Linked DNA regions of Cricetulus griseus. The protein of the gene in region 1 interacts with the protein of each later gene in a pairwise test. Links are inferred from orthologs where the notes say so. Each region holds a gene or a part of one and is shown in the gene's direction. Other genes may lie near its edges.

What was found.
Region 2: the proteins of Tpp2 (region 1) and Polb interact in binary tests that used the Homo sapiens proteins (3 or more experiments, as listed by UniProt). The two-hybrid records come from large-scale screens. The link is inferred for Cricetulus griseus from reciprocal best matches to the Homo sapiens genes TPP2 and POLB.
Region 3: the proteins of Tpp2 (region 1) and Ppp1r16a interact in binary tests that used the Homo sapiens proteins (3 or more experiments, as listed by UniProt). The two-hybrid records come from large-scale screens. The link is inferred for Cricetulus griseus from reciprocal best matches to the Homo sapiens genes TPP2 and PPP1R16A.
Region 4: the proteins of Tpp2 (region 1) and Ehhadh interact in binary tests that used the Homo sapiens proteins (3 or more experiments, as listed by UniProt). The two-hybrid records come from large-scale screens. The link is inferred for Cricetulus griseus from reciprocal best matches to the Homo sapiens genes TPP2 and EHHADH.

The regions. Positions count from the first base shown.
Region 1 is NC_048595.1:400,372,547-400,376,858, forward strand, and holds the start of Tpp2 (tripeptidyl-peptidase 2), read left to right. Parts: upstream 1-1,480; 5' UTR 1,481-1,574; coding exon 1,575-1,739; intron 1,740-4,312. UniProt on the Homo sapiens protein: Cytosolic tripeptidyl-peptidase that releases N-terminal tripeptides from polypeptides and is a component of the proteolytic cascade acting downstream of the 26S proteasome in the ubiquitin-proteasome pathway.
Region 2 is NW_023276807.1:61,041,877-61,046,002, forward strand, and holds the start of Polb (DNA polymerase beta), read left to right. Parts: upstream 1-1,285; 5' UTR 1,286-1,383; coding exon 1,384-1,444; intron 1,445-1,627; coding exon 1,628-1,685; intron 1,686-4,126.
Region 3 is NC_048595.1:373,948,817-373,952,854, forward strand, and holds the start of Ppp1r16a (protein phosphatase 1 regulatory subunit 16A), read left to right. Parts: upstream 1-1,208; 5' UTR 1,209-1,347; exon of another isoform or gene 1,348-1,357; intron 1,358-1,481; exon of another isoform or gene 1,482-1,618; intron 1,619-1,708; exon of another isoform or gene 1,709-1,856; intron 1,857-4,038. UniProt on the Homo sapiens protein: Inhibits protein phosphatase 1 activity toward phosphorylase, myosin light chain and myosin substrates.
Region 4 is NC_048597.1:67,141,408-67,145,471, forward strand, and holds the start of Ehhadh (peroxisomal bifunctional enzyme), read left to right. Parts: upstream 1-1,222; 5' UTR 1,223-1,781; coding exon 1,782-1,855; intron 1,856-4,064. UniProt on the Homo sapiens protein: Peroxisomal trifunctional enzyme possessing 2-enoyl-CoA hydratase, 3-hydroxyacyl-CoA dehydrogenase, and delta 3, delta 2-enoyl-CoA isomerase activities. Catalyzes two of the four reactions of the long chain fatty acids peroxisomal beta-oxidation pathway.

The DNA.
Region 1 (4,312 bases):
CCCATGGCCTTCAGCGTCATTTCCTCTGTGTGAAATGAAGTGGTGGGGCCAGGGCTCATGGAAGCTGCAAGTCAGTTCATTCTGCCACTGCATGCTCAATACTGAAAGTCCCTGGAGAGTCTGTCATTCTCTTTCCTGTACTGTTCAAGTACTCAAGTGCTTTCCAGTTCTGTCCTAAAGGTAATGAATCACCTTGCTCCCTTTCCCTCAGCACCAAGGGCAAACTCTTCTTCCCTTACAGAATGAAAAACAAAGGGAATCAGCAGGAATCACTTCAGACACTAGAGCAAAGTTCCAGGAGTCACTGGGAGTGCTGTGGTTGGAAAACTGGCCTATAAGGTATTCCACTCATCTGCCTCTTAAACTGGAGTCCACAGAAATGCAAAGGGCCCATGTTGCATAGGAAAAATTATTTTCACCTCTGAAATTGTTTCTTCCTAATTATGAGTGTAGGCAACAACTAGACACTGCTGCTTTGTTACCAGTTAAACTAATCTGTGTAGTTTGGATATATTCAAATGTCATTTACACTTGCTTCCCGATTTAGATATCACAGTAGACTTTTGAATACTTTGTGAGACTTGACGCTGGCTCTTGTTATTTAATCAAAACAAAGCACATGCATAATTATTTACATGTGAAGCTATCAACAGAAATTGGGTTTTAGAAGCTATTTTAAGTTTACCTCTTGTATAGTCCTATAGGTTTCGTCTAATGCATGTAAAAACATTGCTGTGAGAGGGTCTCATAAGATTGTCAATGGGGCAATTAAGATTACCCTGGGAGACATAGGCACAGTCAGCTCATTTAGGAAGCACAGAACGCCAAAGTTGGTCACCATCACTGGACATTGTAATGAGAAAAATGCAAACTATGGCTCAATAACAGTGTTGAGCCTGAAGGAGACAACAGGAACTTCGATGGAGGAAAGCAGGCAGATACTTTAAGGAATCCTGGATGCCACGAGTAGGCCATGAAGACAGCAGGGACCCATTTCGGTCCCATGCTTTGTTTCAGAAACACTGGGGACAGAACAGCCCACACCCCTCTTCCTGTTGACTAAATGGCTGCCTCTCCCCACTCCATTCATCCACCTCACCCCCAGAACGCGGGGGACACAGAGACTCCCCGGCCAAATCTGAGACCTCTGAACCTGACTTTCCAGGGCCAACATTCGCGTGGCGGGGATCCCGCGGCTCAGGCGGGCGGCCTGTCCCTCTCAAGGCTTCTCACAAACAGTGAGAGCTTGGGAGAAAGTCCGGCTGTCTGCGCACCCCAAACACAGTCCCTTTAAGAACCTGGCTCCAGCACAGAGTCCTCAGCCCCAGCGTAGACTCCACCCCTGCGCTGCAGCCCGGGCAACTCTCCTATCAAGCGCCTTGTAGAGGCGCCGTTTGCTTACGTTGCGAAACATGATTGGCTGAGCATCTGTAACTACATGCGATTGGGTGCTTTTGGCCTGGCACCGCCCTTTCCCCCGCCTCAGGCCCGCGGCGGCCCGGTGTCCTCGCGCTGCCGGTCCGCGAGCATTCTGGCAGTTTGCCTCTTCCTCCTTCGTCCTCCCGCTCGGGTCCATGGCCACCGCCGCAACTGAGGAGCCCTTCCCTTTCCACGGTCTTCTGCCGAAAAAAGAGACCGGGGCCGCCTCCTTCCTGTGCCGCTACCCGGAGTATGACGGGCGCGGGGTGCTCATCGCCGTCCTGGACACGGGGGTCGATCCCGGGGCTCCCGGCATGCAGGTGAGGCGGCGCTGAGGGCCACGGCTGGGAGGCCGGATCTAAGACCAAGCCGGGGACGGCCCGGACAGCTCCGGGCGACCGCAGGACCCCGTGTTCCCGCTCCGGTCCACACAAAAGCGGCGTGGTCGGCGTGGCTGATCGCGATCGGGGCCGCTGGGAAGCCCTGGTGGTCATCCGGGCGTGCCGGGCCTCACACCTAAGGGTCTTCGCCGGATCTCGCCCAGCGAGGATTTTACAGTTTTTAACCCTGGGGCACAGCGGGGTGGGGTGGTGACACCGATGGGGCAGCAGCCACTTGTTAGGGATGTGGTGTAGTCATTGGTTTTGGCAAAACCAGCAAAGCGGGGTTCCCAGAAGACAACCCGGTCCTCTTCCGGAGTGTTTTCTTCTGATATTTTTATATTTTTAAGTTATCTGCTGTGTGTTTGTTTAGGGTCCTTGCAATCTCCCCGGTTCATCCTTTTACATAAAGCACAATTAATTTGTCAGGGGCGAACTTCTTAGGCATTATGAAAATATGCTTTTTAAACGCCTCAAAACATAGGGGAACATATTTAAGCAATGGTTTCCCCAAATGGCTTCATTTTTCTTTATGCTAGTTGGAAATCTTTAGGGCTGGGATCTAAATCACTTTTATGAAAAGTGATTTTAAAAAAGCCTCTGGGTAAAATGCATTCTGTTTTTAAACTAAACTAGCCTTTTACTAAAACCCACTGATAGATGCTTACCAACCATTGTTGAAGATTTTCCCCAACTAACTTTTTGCCTCCTCTTTGGTCCTGTGTCTGTGTATCAGAGAAATGCATTAGATTACATAGGTAATATCTTAAACCTGTCCTCACAAAAGAGGGATGCTTAATAATTCTTTTATTCCTAATGCTTGGTTTTCCTCCTGTGTTTAGTTCTTTCATTGTGCTGCCTGATATTTGAGATAAATGGATAGTGAGATAATTGACATAGATGCTAGGAATTAGTCAAGGGATAGGAAGGAAGTCTGTGTGACCACTCTATGGATCCCCTTGGGAGTCCTGATTCTGAAAGTTTGTTGCTTCTTCTCTGGAGCTCATATAGTGGTGGTTCTGTCTGGCAGAGCTTCTGATTAGAAGTTCAGGTAATGAGTTCCCTCCAGGTGACTACAATTGTTATTGTTATCTTATTGTTGATGATTGCTAAGGCTTAAAGCATTGTGACAGCAATGCCACATTAAGGGTTTATAACAGTGGAAATGCTGCCCATTACACAGCAGTGTGTGTTTAATTTTTATAGGATGTGTGGGAGAACAGCTAGGATAAGTGAATCACTGGTTGTTTTGTTAAAGGTCAGACAATTTTGAAGTAGTACTCCTCAGTGGACATTTGTAGAAGTTCCAGATCTGCTTATCAAAGTATTTTGTTTCTGTAAAGTAACAGTTTTTACCCTGTAGAATTACTTAATAATTGAGAAGATCATTAAATATACGTGACTTTAAAGTGCTGAAGAAAAGTTTTAAATACTATTTTTAAAGTCCTAAATAAGCAATAAATGTCTATTAGGAGGCATTTATAGTAGGTCTATACTTATGAATTGTCTGAAGGAAAAATATGTTTGATATTTACATATTACATGAATATTCAGTCAATAAAATATTGAAACCAAATGGAAACATAAGAGCATCAAGAATTAATGCTCAAATTGTAAACATGATCAGTTTTTTTTTAATTCAGCAAGGAACTTAGCACATGAGTGACTTCAGTATTTTCCTCACCTGATGAATTTATTTTGTAGCTCTGTGTATACATCATTTTGGTAAGACAGAAATAAAAAGCAAAGAATAGAAGAAAAGGCTGACCTAGCTGTTTGGGATACCAACTGATACCAAAGTACTAGAGAACTTTGAGGGACACAGCCTGCCTTAGGCCAAGTCTTTTTTTTTTTTTTTTTTTTTTTTTTTTTGGTCACAGCTTCTGGGTGTATTCCAAGCAGAGGCAGTGCCAGGTATGATGGCATACTCCTTTGTGCAGACAGATTGAGGAGAGTAATACTTATAGAGATGATTAAATATATTCCCCCAGCAAGCATTCAAGCACCTGATAGGTGTCTACTCTTCCATTATATAATGAAGTCCTGCAAACTGAGTGTTTCAAAGATAGAGAGGTAGGATATCAGGAAGACTGACTGAGAACATGGATGGGTTTCATGACAAGATAACCTTTGGTCTAGATCATATATACAAAAGCAATTATTGCTTCCACCAATCTCATCATTGATCCATGCTTCACATTTCCAAATTTACTACCCATCAAAAGCAAACCTAGTATCGAGTATTTGTTCAAAACAAACTGTTTGCTTTTGAATAAAACTCCAAAATTTTGAATTCTATTACAAACCTTTCACCTTGCAACTGTAACCTTTGGGTATATATAGCCTGAGCACTGCCCTTCATTCCATACTTCTCTCTTGAACCTCTGATTTCCATCTTCTCTAGGCACCTAGCTGTTGCAGGTCCTAATACATGCCTTTGCATGTGGTGCTTCATTTTCCCAAAAGCTTCCTATAGTTCCCTGCAAACTCCCGCTTCATCCTCTGAAGGCATT
Region 2 (4,126 bases), on another chromosome or scaffold:
TTGTTAGTTTTAATGTAGTTTGTGTTTTCCTGATGGTCTTAGTTGACCCTTGTGAAAGGATCGTTTGACCCTCAAAGGGCTCAAAAACCACAGGTTGAGAACCCGTGCTCTAACTAGCCCCTGTCTCACTTCCCAAGGGCTGTCCTATTTCCTTGCTTTATTTATTCCGGCTGTGTTGTGGGTGTGCAGTGCTGAGAGCCTCATTTCTGCTAAGCATGCACTCTCACAGTGAATCATACTCATATTCTTGACCTGTTTTTAGGACACTTTCTCACTACCTGTCATGGAAATGTGCACAAGACTTGACTTGTCTTTACTGTACATCCCACACCCAAAAGCAGCACCCTATCTTTGCTAATAAAAGTAAGTCATTTATCTAAAGCATTTCTTCATTATTAGAATAACAATGCATTGATAGGCCTGGTGGTGCATACTTATCCCAGCACTCTGACTTTGAGGCCAGCCTGAGTAAGCTACATAGTTAAAGGACAGTCTGGACTACATAGAGGCATCCCATCCCAGAACAAAACAAAAACTAATAACAAGCAACAACAATAATGGAAAAATTAAAAGTTAGGACTGGAATAGAAAAGTGTGTGTTCCAAAATATTAAATGGCTCAGTTGGATGGCAAAACTACCATTGATTTTAATTTTCCTTTATTCTTTCATACTCTTCAGATTTACCTACACTAGTATGTATCATAATAACAATTTAACTTTATACTCAATCAGTTGCTGCAGTTGCAGTTAATATGAACCCCATGAGGTACACTTATAAATAGCTCAGGTGCTATATTTCAATTCAAGCACATCGTAAGGGTCTCACATATAAGCCATATGGTATGAGGGCTCCATTGCCGATCAGCTTGGTCAAACAATTCTTGTGACCTTTTCATACCTTTAGCCTCTCCGACAAAAGGCATGGGTATTTAAAACAAAACACATCTCTAGCCGTTGTTTGACAGGCGTGCTTAAAAAGTTTTGGTTGGCGTATTTCATTCCCTGTTTTACCCGCTGCCCAAGAGCACAGAGCCCCTCTTGGAGTCTGACAGCCAGCCGACCTGGCGCTGGCACTCCACACAGAAAGTCCATGCCATGCGTTCCACAGCTATTGCCCACAGCGGCCAACGTCCACCGCCTTCTGCATCTCAGGCTCTAAATCGCACTGCTCTCCGACCAGGCGAGCAGACGTGATCTCAGGTTAACCCACTAAAGGCTAATTCTGACCTCCCGGCTCCCAAACCGGCCGGGGATTCCCTGCTACTCCCCAGGCGCCTAAGCCCCGCCCCGCCCCGTCGCCTGGCGCGTGACGTCACCACGCTGCGCGCTGTCAGGGCCGCCATTGTCCCACCGGCAGCTCCCAGGTACGGGACCCCGGCGCCATGAGCAAACGCAAGGCGCCGCAGGAGACGCTCAACAGCGACATCACCGACATGCTCGTAGGTGAGTCCCGGGACGCCCTGCGGTGCCACTCCTCAGCCGGGCCTCGCTGCTGTCTCCCCTGGTGGCAACCGCAGCGTCCGTGCCGGCTGCGTCAGTCCCGGCAGGACCCACCCACACCCCCTTCCCGTGACCGCAGTTCCCCGCTGCGTGCTTGTTCACTCGAACTCTTTGTTGTCTTCTCAGAACTCGCCAACTTTGAGAAGAACGTGAGCCAGGCCATTCACAAGTACAACGCGTACAGGTACGTTGTTGGCTCGCATTCCAGGACATCCTGGTTTGGTGTAGTCATTTAGCCGGGATAGAGTGCGGGTGTCCAAGGATTGTTTGGACGACCCGAAAGAGGTTTTAAAAAAGCAAAAACCGAGTGGCACTTTATTTAACATATACAGAATTTTGGCTGAGACTTATAGAGTTAATTCAGGTGAGTTTACAGTTGTGACTGAAAGTAGAGGTAGTCTATACATATATCCCCACCATTATCTTGAGTGACTGGAAATTCACTGTGACTTTAAAACATAGTGAACAACCAGTAGATGAGATCTGTATAATGAAATAGATGTGGCAAGCCCTCGGGAAGCAGAGGCAGATGATCTCTGAGTTAGAGGCTATCTTGGTCTGCCGAGAGGGTTCCAGGACAGCCAGGGCTACACAGAGAAACACTCGTCTCAAAAAAACCCAAACAAACAAACAAACAAACAAAAGCCCAAACAAAAAAAGAATAGATGTGGTTCTGTTTTGACTATAGCTGATCCTGTCACCTTCCTGAAAACCCACTGGCCATCACCCCAAACCTTAGCAGGCATCTTTTCCTAGCCATTATTCCCACAGTTACCTACTTCAGGTACTTAGCCTATAAACATGCCCAAAGCCCTCAGCTTTTAAAAATAAGAGCAAACTGTCCTCATTTTCCCAAGCTAGCTCTTTCCTCTTTACAATTATTGTTCTTTGGTAGTCTGTTCCATGCCAGAATTTCCTCATCTGGAGTCATCATCATCATTATTATTATTGAGATTATAATTATATCATTTCTGCTTTCCCTTTTTTTCCTCCAAACCCTTCCATATGTTCCCTCCTTTAGCTTTCAAATTCATGGCCTCCTTTTTTAAAATTAATTATTGTGTAAATATTACATATGTATATTCTTAAATATATAAATATAATGTGTTCAGTGTGTATAATGTTACTTGTCAGGGCTTACTATTTGGCATTGGCTAACCAATTGGTGTGCTCTTCTCTGGGGAAGACTATTTCTCTGCTTTCTGCATTCCTTAGTTTCCTGTAGGGTTGAGGTCTTGACCACTTTGGTGTGTCTATTTGGCCTTGTTTAGCTCATATTTAGGCAGTCACATTAGTGAGACTCTATGGGTGTGGCTCCTGATATTAGGTAACACAGTCTCATAGCAAGCTCCCTGATCCTCTGTCTCTCACAGTCTTTCCATTTCCTCTTCCGCAATGTTCCCCGAGCCTTAGGTTTGAGAGTTATTTTGTAGAATCCATTAGGACTTGGCTCCATAACTCTGCATTTTGATTGGTTGTGTTTTTTTTTAATGGTCTCCATCTGTTGCCAAGAGAAGTTTCCTCGATGAGAGGTGAAGGCTACACTTATCTGTGTGTATAAGGCTGAACATTTAGAATGTGGTAAGGGGTTAGGCCAGTTTAGGAAAGTGGTGGTTGTAGGCTCTTCACCAGCCCTTAGTAGTTTCCAGTGTCAGACATAGTTTCCCTCTTGATGAGTGAGTCTTAAGTCCAGTTAGAGAGCTATTGGTTACCACTAGGATATGTGTGCCACCACTGCCCCCTTAGAGTTATCATGCCATGCATGTAGTCTTTGTGCTTCATAGGTGTCATCATAGCTGGGTAGGACTGTTGGTTGCTTCCCTCCTTGGGAAGCTTGCCTGGTGCCTTATGATACCATGAAAGCCAGTCTTCAGAGAAGGGACATTTAGGTCAGTTCCAGCTCAGAGGCCTGTGTCTGAAGTACTTAGTGTCTTCAGCAATAGGGACTTACCTTCTACCTCTGGAGTGCCACCAGAGGCAATAGTAATAGCCTGTGTGGTTTGGGAGTCTCCAGCACTGCCCTGGCCAAAAACTCAGAAGAGGTCTTCTTGTGCCTGGTCTTAGATTTTTGTTAGGTATTCTTTGGTTCTTGGATGGAGCATTGTCTGCCCAGATTTTAAACTGTGTGTGTATATTTATACATAGACTTATGTTTATTATAGGCTTTTTTAGGAAGATGGTAAATAATAGGATCCCTTCTGATACTTTCAGACATCCATTCTGTTCATTTATCCTGCTTCTCCATTATCACTTGTACCTTGCTCTTTTTTCCCATCCCTCACTCCATCATCATGTGCACCTCGCTGTTCCTCTCTCTACTGCTCCCCAAAGCCCCTCTCCTACCCAGTTTCTGCAGTTACTCCAAGGTAGGTATTCATATTTGAAGATGTTGAGCTAGAAGCCTCCAATGAGAAAGGACACGTGTTATTTCTCTTTCTAGGTCTGGGTTACTTGATAGGACCTTTTCTAGTTACATCCATTTACCTGTAAAGTTAGTGGTTTCATTTTTATTTTGTTGTTGTTGTTGTTTTATTGTTCTTGTTTTAGGTAGGGTCTCTCTCTGTACCTCTGGCTGTGCTGGAACTCACTATGTAAATCATGCTGGCCTTGGACTCATAGAGATCC
Region 3 (4,038 bases), about 26 Mb from region 1:
CAGCCAAATTACCCTGAGAGGGATGGGAAATTTCCAGGAGTTCAAGATGAAGTAGTCAAGAAGAAGTCATGCCCTAGGTAGGGGGTCTGCAACCCAGGTCTAGACTGGGGAGGTGGGGGCAGATGGGTGGATGGGCTGAGGGATGACTTCTCAGACCAAAAAGGCATACAGCCTGTCCCCCAAAACAAGGGGAGGGCAGAGATTTAAGTGACTTTTTCCAGGAGTACGTTACAGTAGCCCATGTGGGCCCTTACCTCTTCCTTGGCCATCTAACTGCTGGCTCTACCCTTGGGCTCAGTCACCATCTATGTACTAATTGTTAACCAAGTTCTCCTGGATACTACACTGGGCAGGTTTGCAATGAGGGTCAGAATCATGGCACTGACAGCAGAGGTTGGTACCAGAGTCAATGGTCCCAGATCTGTCTACATCAACACTGAACACTTTGGGAATTCACCTTTTCCTGCGCAGCCCCTCCCCATTATACCATCAAAGGACTGACCGAGACCCTTGCTGGTACCAAGGAAGGCACAGTCATGAGTGCAGGAGGGAGCAGGGTGGGGGTGGGGGTCGGGCACACATGGAGGGTAAATACAGTGGGACTTCACTTCTCCTAATTGTCCTACCCATGCCTGGGTTGTGGTCTTATACCAGACTCTTCTTTCAGTCCTCGTCTGCCTTCCCCTGGAATCCTATCACCTCCTGCCCCTCTGCTTTCCGTTCTCAGGACTCTAGCTGAGGGTTCCTATGTCCCACCAGACAGATACCGCTGGCCTCCGCCCTACTCAGCCCTGCTTCCAGGCTAAAGCCTGGCTCCTTGGTCTGACATTCAAGGGTCCTCATCCTGGCTGCTTCTCCCCGACCACAGTGTCCTAGGGCCCAACCATCATCCAAACTGCTGTCCATCCTCTGGGACACGCTGCTCCCTCCTTTGACCAACAATGAAGGGAAGACTCCAACCCTTCTTTCAAAGACCAGGACAGAGATGACCCTTCCGGGAACACCTGAACACTTGCCCTTCCCATCCCACCCGAGACGTCAGGATGTTTGTGCCACAGAACAGAGGACGGAAAATCCTCGCACAGACTCAACCCATCTACCGGGGCTGGCCCGGCTTCTGGATGGCGCTCTTTAGGCTCCGCCCTTGTAGAACGGCTCTGCCCAGGACTCCCACCCGGCACCGCGGCTTCCGCTCCGGACACCTCGGACCGGAAGTGTCGCGTTGCCATGGCGAGGATGGGCGCGGGGCCCGCCCCCGTGGAGCCTGGAGCAGCGCTGGGCCCCAGGGTCGGCCGGGCAGGGTCTGGGAAGCGGCTAGGCGGGCTCCAGATGAGACAGCCGGCAGTTGTAAGTGAGGGTCAGTCCTGTATGGGAACGTAGGGGCAGTCGGGGCGAGGCCCGGCGCGGAGCGGTGGGGCGGGGCATGGCGGGTGAGCCGGCGCTGCGGTCTCTGCGGCCCGGAGCTGGTCCTGCGGGGCAGAGGAATGGGTCGTGAGGGGCCTGCAGGAGGGGCGCCAGCGAGGCGGCCCGCGGAGGGTTTTTTGTCAAACCTAACAGCACAGGTAGTTCTTGCAACCTGTTGTTCAGGTAGATCGACCGACAGTCTTCATTCTGACAGGTCAGTGAAGGAAGGGACTTTCCTGTGCTTCCTGTGGGTTTGGAGTTCAGTAAAGCACACTCTCGAGCCTCTTAAGGCTTCAAGTGCCCTCGCCTGGAGGCTGTGCCTCATGAATTGTGGTTAGGAGAGGAATGTAGACCAGCCTGTGAAAAGTGTTTGGGCTTCTTTGGGTTCCTGGATGAGCCAGTGCCGGAGGCTTGAAGCAAGGAGGGTTAATTATTACGGGTGCCGAAGAGAGGTGTGTATTGGCTTGCCCCAGACTCGAGAGACAGAGCGAAGCTATCTGACCCCCTAAGCCCTCCTTTCTTCCTGGTCCTTACTTGGGGGTTCAGGTGGAGGCGAGGGCATCGATACCGCAGTTAGCCCTCTATGGTGTCTTTGCTCCCCGGGAATTCCCTTATAGAGGTTTGGTTTGAAGGCTGTGTCTTGCTGCAAGCACCCTAGCTCTCAAGAAGGCCGCCTGATTCACTTCAAGGGAACCAGAGCTGCCATTGGCCCAGCATGAGAGCTGAGTTGGTTGAGGGACTGTTGGCCTGGTGAGACCTGCCCTGACTTCGTATTGTCATCGTGATGGGACTCTTAGAGCTCTGAGGGGCCACTTGCCTGCCTCTGCTCCAAGTTTTGCCCAAGGAGGTTTATTTTTTTATTTTTTTATTTTTTTGGCCTTTCCCTCTCCTGATACCTTAGTTAGGTTTCTTCCTTATTGACTCAGAGGCCCTCCTGACCTCCCCCCCTTTTTTTTGAAAGGAATAATTCTCTTAAATATTATTTATTATTGTTTGGGACGGGTGCATGCCATGGTGTTCATGTGGAGGCTAGAGGACAACTTTGTGGAGTCCATTCTCTCTGTATGTCTCTTTTTTTTGAGGCAAGGTCTCTCTATATGGCCCTGGCTGGCCTGGAATTCATAGAGATCCACCTTTTTCTGCCTCCCAGGGATTAAAGGTGTGAGCCAGCTGGTTGGGGGTAGTGGCACAGGCCTTTAATCTCAGCACTCGGGAGGCAGAGGCAGGCAGATCTCTGTGAGTTCTAGGCCAACCTGGTTTACAGAGTGAGTGTCAGGACAGGTTCCAAAGCAGGAACTCTGTCTCAAAAAACCAAAAAAACAAAAAAAAAGAAAGAAAGAAAGAAAAAAGAAAAAGGAAAAAAGAAAAAAAATGTGGGCCAGCCAAACCCAACTCATTCTCTTCTTCCACCTTGAATGTGGGTTCCAGGGAGTTGAACTCAGGCTTGCAGGGCAAATGGCATTACCTGCTAATCTCTCTCTTTTCACCTTTTTAGACAGGACTTCAGTGTGTCACCTAGGCTGCCTTGGGATTTATACCTCCCTGTTCCAGAGTGCAGGGCTAGTGGACACAGGCCTGGTCCCTCCTGCCTCTTCATCACCAGTGTAGTGGGGAGAACTGGACTCGGTTCTGTGCTAGCAGGCATCCTGCAGCTGGACTTCTATACTCTGGACTCTGTCTGAGGGATTCTTGAGTCTATGCTATGATCTGTCTCACCAGCTGGTTACGGCAATGCCTTCACTATAGGCTGCTGAAGTATCTCAGTCACAGATAACCAGGCTCCCAGCCCTGACTTCCACACTCTCTCTGTCCCACCCACCTACTGGTCAAAACAAGGTATCTGAGGCAGCCACAGGCTGTTTTCCCACCTCTAGACTCTCTTGGAACTCCCTCTTGCATGTCCCATGAACAGTAACATACACACCAGAGTAAGGTCTATGCATGTCCTGTCCCATTCTGTGTTATACTCACCGTGCTGACATATTCAGGTGACTGTTCATCATTTACTGAATGCTTCCTGTAAGTCAGGCACTGGGCTAAACTCTTAAGAGAACTGCAATAAATCCAGAGTAAATGACATGTTAAATAAAACATGATGAGATAAGAGAGTTACAAGGTAGCCATGGGAGACTACTGACAAGGTAATACTTGAGATTAAGGTGTGATCTACATGGTTCTAAGGTACAGTGGGAGGACTTTCCAAACAGGAGCAACAGTGATTTGGAGGTGGGATAAGGATGACAGTGGTAGTACCAGGTAAATGTGACAGGCTTGGGCGTAGAAAACCTCAAAATGTTTCAGATTTTTCAGCCACATGATCTTCAAGACACTTCTGCTGTCTTGTAGAAAAATCAACCCCAGACCACACACAACTGAAGAGCTCTTTCAACAAAATTTGTATTTTCTATCATATACTGAATGGTATTGTTACCTTTTTATTGTTGTTATTATTATTACTGAAAGTAATTTTCAAAAGATTTATTTTATGGTCACTGGGTTTGATGGTGCACACCTTTAATCCCAGCACTTCTGAGGCAAAGGCTGGCAGATCTCTGTGGAGTTGAGGCCAGCCTGATTTGCAGAGCAAGTTCCAGGACAGCCATGGCTATGCATAGAAACCCTGTTCTGAAAAAC
Region 4 (4,064 bases), on another chromosome or scaffold:
AAGCAGAGGGCGACATGCAGATAGTGTGCAGTGCTTACCCAAGAGGAATGAGATCCTGTGAAGTAGCCAAGCACTTCATAAGACAAGTAAAATAATAGGATATGGCAGATCAAACCAATAATCAAAAGACTATCAAATAGTCAAGCAGTCTTCAAACAGCAACACAGTTACTCATCCATGGACTAGCAAATTACACATCCATGGACTCAGCAAATATGGAACCCATGCATACAGTTTTGTACTAGCAGGAAAAGAAAAATCAACATGCTACCACCCAGCTGTATCCGATGGTCTCTCAATGTGCTACATTTACAAAGGGACTAATTGATAGGACTGTGGGTGATCCTGTTGTTGAGGCATAGCACTGGGTGAACCTGATAGTAACTGCCCTTTGAACTTTGTCCCTTGAAGGTCTCACTTGCCTCACATAGGTCCTGTCCCTGTTGAGTCGCCAACTCTAAACACCCAAGCAGTATATTAGATTTACATAGAAGCTTACACCCAGATCCCACTGTGGGAGCCACAGCAGAAAGCTCTGGGCTCAACTAAAATAAAAAATGTAGAGACACGATGGCCAGTGACTGATTCCTACAAGATGAAGAGGACAAAGTGTCACAAGCTGGCTCCAAATATGCTTATCTTCCCCTGCTCCAAGGCGGAGGGGTGCAATAAGGCCAGTCAGTGCTATTAAACCTTGAACTCTACCTGTTCAAGTTCCTAGGATACTGTGGCCGAGTGTGTTCTCCTAGTTACCAGCATCTGAAGGGGGACAAAGCTGAAGCTACTGCTCCTGTAGGCGGGGAGAACTGGGCTGGCCATGCAGACTCTCTCCAACAGAACACACTAGGAGAGTTTGGGGACTAGTTAGTCTACAGATTAGGCATGGTTTGAGAGGTAGTAGATAGAGATTCCCGACGTTTGTCTGAAGCCGCTTGCTCCCATGAGGCTGTTGTCATCGCTGACACCTGAAGGAGTGCTTTGGGTGATGGGCTGTCCTTGACATGTGGGGGCTCCCATGCCTCTGAACGCAACTTGTTACCAGGGCTTCCAGGGCACTCAGGATTTTTCTACTAACTAAACCCTTTCTTAATTTCAAGAAGTAAAGAACATGTCTGGAAATAATCTTTCGACCTTGTTAAAACTTGGGAAACATCAGTGAAGATTTACGTGTGTGTGTGTGTGTATGTGTGTGTGTGTGTGTGCGTGCGTGCGTGCGTGCGTGCGTGTGTGTGTGTGTGTGTGTGTGTGTGTGTGTGTGTGTTTCTTGTCCACCTGTACACTGTCTTCTGGCTACTTGGTGGGCTTTGGCAACCATGAAAAACATGCACATCGGAAGGACCCTGTCCAGGCTGAGCTTTGAGAGGGAAGAAACAAGGCATGGCTTATTGTCAGTATCCAGCCTACGTCCAGCTCATAATAGGTGTGCAGTTCATGGATGAAGTATGAGAAATCCCAGCCCTTAGACGGGGACAGAACCAGAGAGGAACAGGCAGACCGGGCACTCGGGGCTTCGTGCCGGGGCAGATGATTGGTTTCGGAACACGTGTTTGACTCCAGTTGTGAGACCCAGCAGCTCAGCATGCCTTTCGACATTCTGTCTGCTAGCCTAGGAGGACTACCCTTCCCTGGAGCGCAGCCAGCATTGGGGAGCATGTGGTGCAAGGGGCAGGAGGCGGTGGCGGCGACTCCCATTGGTCCAGCGCGTGCCCCTCCTCTCGGAGCGGCCCAGAAAAGAACTCCCGGCTGTCCCAGACATCAGAGGTGCAGGATACCTTGAGAAAATGGCTGAGTATCTCAGGCTGCCTCACTCCCTGGCGATGATCCGCCTCTGCAACCCTCCGGTTAACGCCATCAGGTAACAGCACCGGGTCAGGGGGTGTGGCGGGTCTGGGTCGGGGCTCTCCTCCCTAGAAGGACCTGCCAATGAGCAGCTGGCTCCGGCCTTCCTTATGTCCGCTGTCAACCTCACAGCTCGCTCAAGTCTGCTTGGTTCTAGTGGTTCAGGAACCTACAGAGGCGTGGCTTTCTGCAACCCTACTTCGGGCTAGCAACCCTAGCTTCTCTGTGTGAAGCCCAAAGCTATAGTTACCCGACTCAGAGAGTGGGTCTCCAAGCTCCAAGCTCCCTGTCAGAGGAGGCTGCTGCATAGCATTTTCTGAAAAGCTGAAGTTTTGTTTACTTCATTGGCCATGCCCTGGGTGCAATGCCCTTAGCACATTGCTTTTAAAAGTGAGATCTGTTGTCTTTTTGGAAAATGAACAAGTTGACTTATCTTGTTCATTCCATATCACTGGCGAACAGAGTATAATTCTCTATTAGCCTCAGGAGGAATTACCCGTACGCAGACTGCCGAAGTGGTGGACGGGATCATGACCGATAGTGTGCAACATTTACCTGAGATGTTGCTAAAATCCCTTTCCTGGGGGAGACCTCCTACAGCCCAAAGGACAACCCTAGAAGCAATTCCAGACAAGTTCACTCTGGGGGGAACCAATGGGTTTATTCGGCCAACTTTCAGAACAGTGAGGGGGGAGCTAGGAGCAGAAGCATGGGTGGCCTTAGGGCAGCCACACTAGAAAGCAATCCTCCCTGGCAAAGACGACGAGTTCCGTTTGACTGTGCTGGAGTCTCCTCCCCTAATCCTTCCTACCTGTAGCCCTTCCCAGAGACCTGGAGGGGAGCTCCACTGCACAGACGCCCTCCCGCCCCCCCCCCCCTCTCTCCCCCCCACAGTTGCTTCTGCTCCTGTAACTTCGGAAGTGAGGGGTTGGGGCGGTGTGGGGTGTGTGTGAATCTTGCAACTCTCTGAGCTTCCTGGGCATCTTAAACATCGGTAAATTTATTTAGCTTCCAGAATCTTGTCAGTTTCTTCAGTTTCCTGAACCTTAGCCTTTCTCCTCCTTCAGGAAGGAATGCTTCAATCCCAGAAAAATAGCTGTGTAAAAGCAGAATAAATAAAGTGAAAATAGGTCATTTGGTGAAAATTCCCATCACAAGCTGCTGGAGCAAAACAAACAGATGCTGGGTTGGCACACACCTGTAATCGCAGCATTCAGGAGCCTGAGGCAGGAGGAAACATTGGTCTCAAAAACAAAACAAACAAACAAAAAACAGAAAGGAGGAGACATGTTCATTTTAAACCACACTGCCATTAGGTTTTATATTAAATTTTTTTAAAATTTATTTTATTTTATGTGTATGGGTGTTTTACCTGCACATATGTCTGTGAACTGCATGCGTGCCTAGTGCCCACGGAGGTCAAATTTTTATCCTTATTATTAATGTAATTTCTTTTGAGACAGGATCTTACTGTGTAGACCTGTCTGATCAGTGAACTAGGTGGGCCTCGAACTCACAGAGATCCACCTGCCTCTGCCTACCAAGTATTGTGATTAAAGATGTGTGCTACTAACCTGGTTTGATACTATCCTTATTTTAATGTGAAGGATTGCATTCACTAATACAAATGCAGTATGTATTGATAGAGTAATAGTATGCAGGAATAAAACCACACACATATGTATCCACTTGCTGGCCATTTGGGGGGGGGGTGGAAGTAAAATACTGATTATGTCCATTTCACAGTTGATCTCAGCCCAGAGACCAGGAAGTAGGTGCCGCGTGTGTTTTCACGAAGAAAGCATAAGCAATATGATTCCTTATCCACATGGGGTGTTTGCATACTGATATGGTTACTAGATAGAAGATTCTGCAGGGATGTCTATGTCCATCAAGAGGTGAGAGGGAATGTCCCAATCTCAGGTCCACAGTCAGATACGTTTCTAGTGTTTAACCTGCTCATTCCCTCCCCAATCTGGAGAAATGTAAGTACCTAACATAAAAAGTCCCATGGGTTAAATGAAATGGAGATTGTAAATGACTTTTACACTTGTGGTTCTCCTGGTATCTCTGAGCAGCCTGTGATCAGTCTCCTATCGTGGCCCCCTTTCTCAACATCTGCTTCAGCCTCGTGGAGATTTTTCATCTTGGACCCTGCACATTCCCATCTGTTTTACTTTGAAATTTAACGGCACGTAAATTGTTTACCAACTTAACAGCTTCCT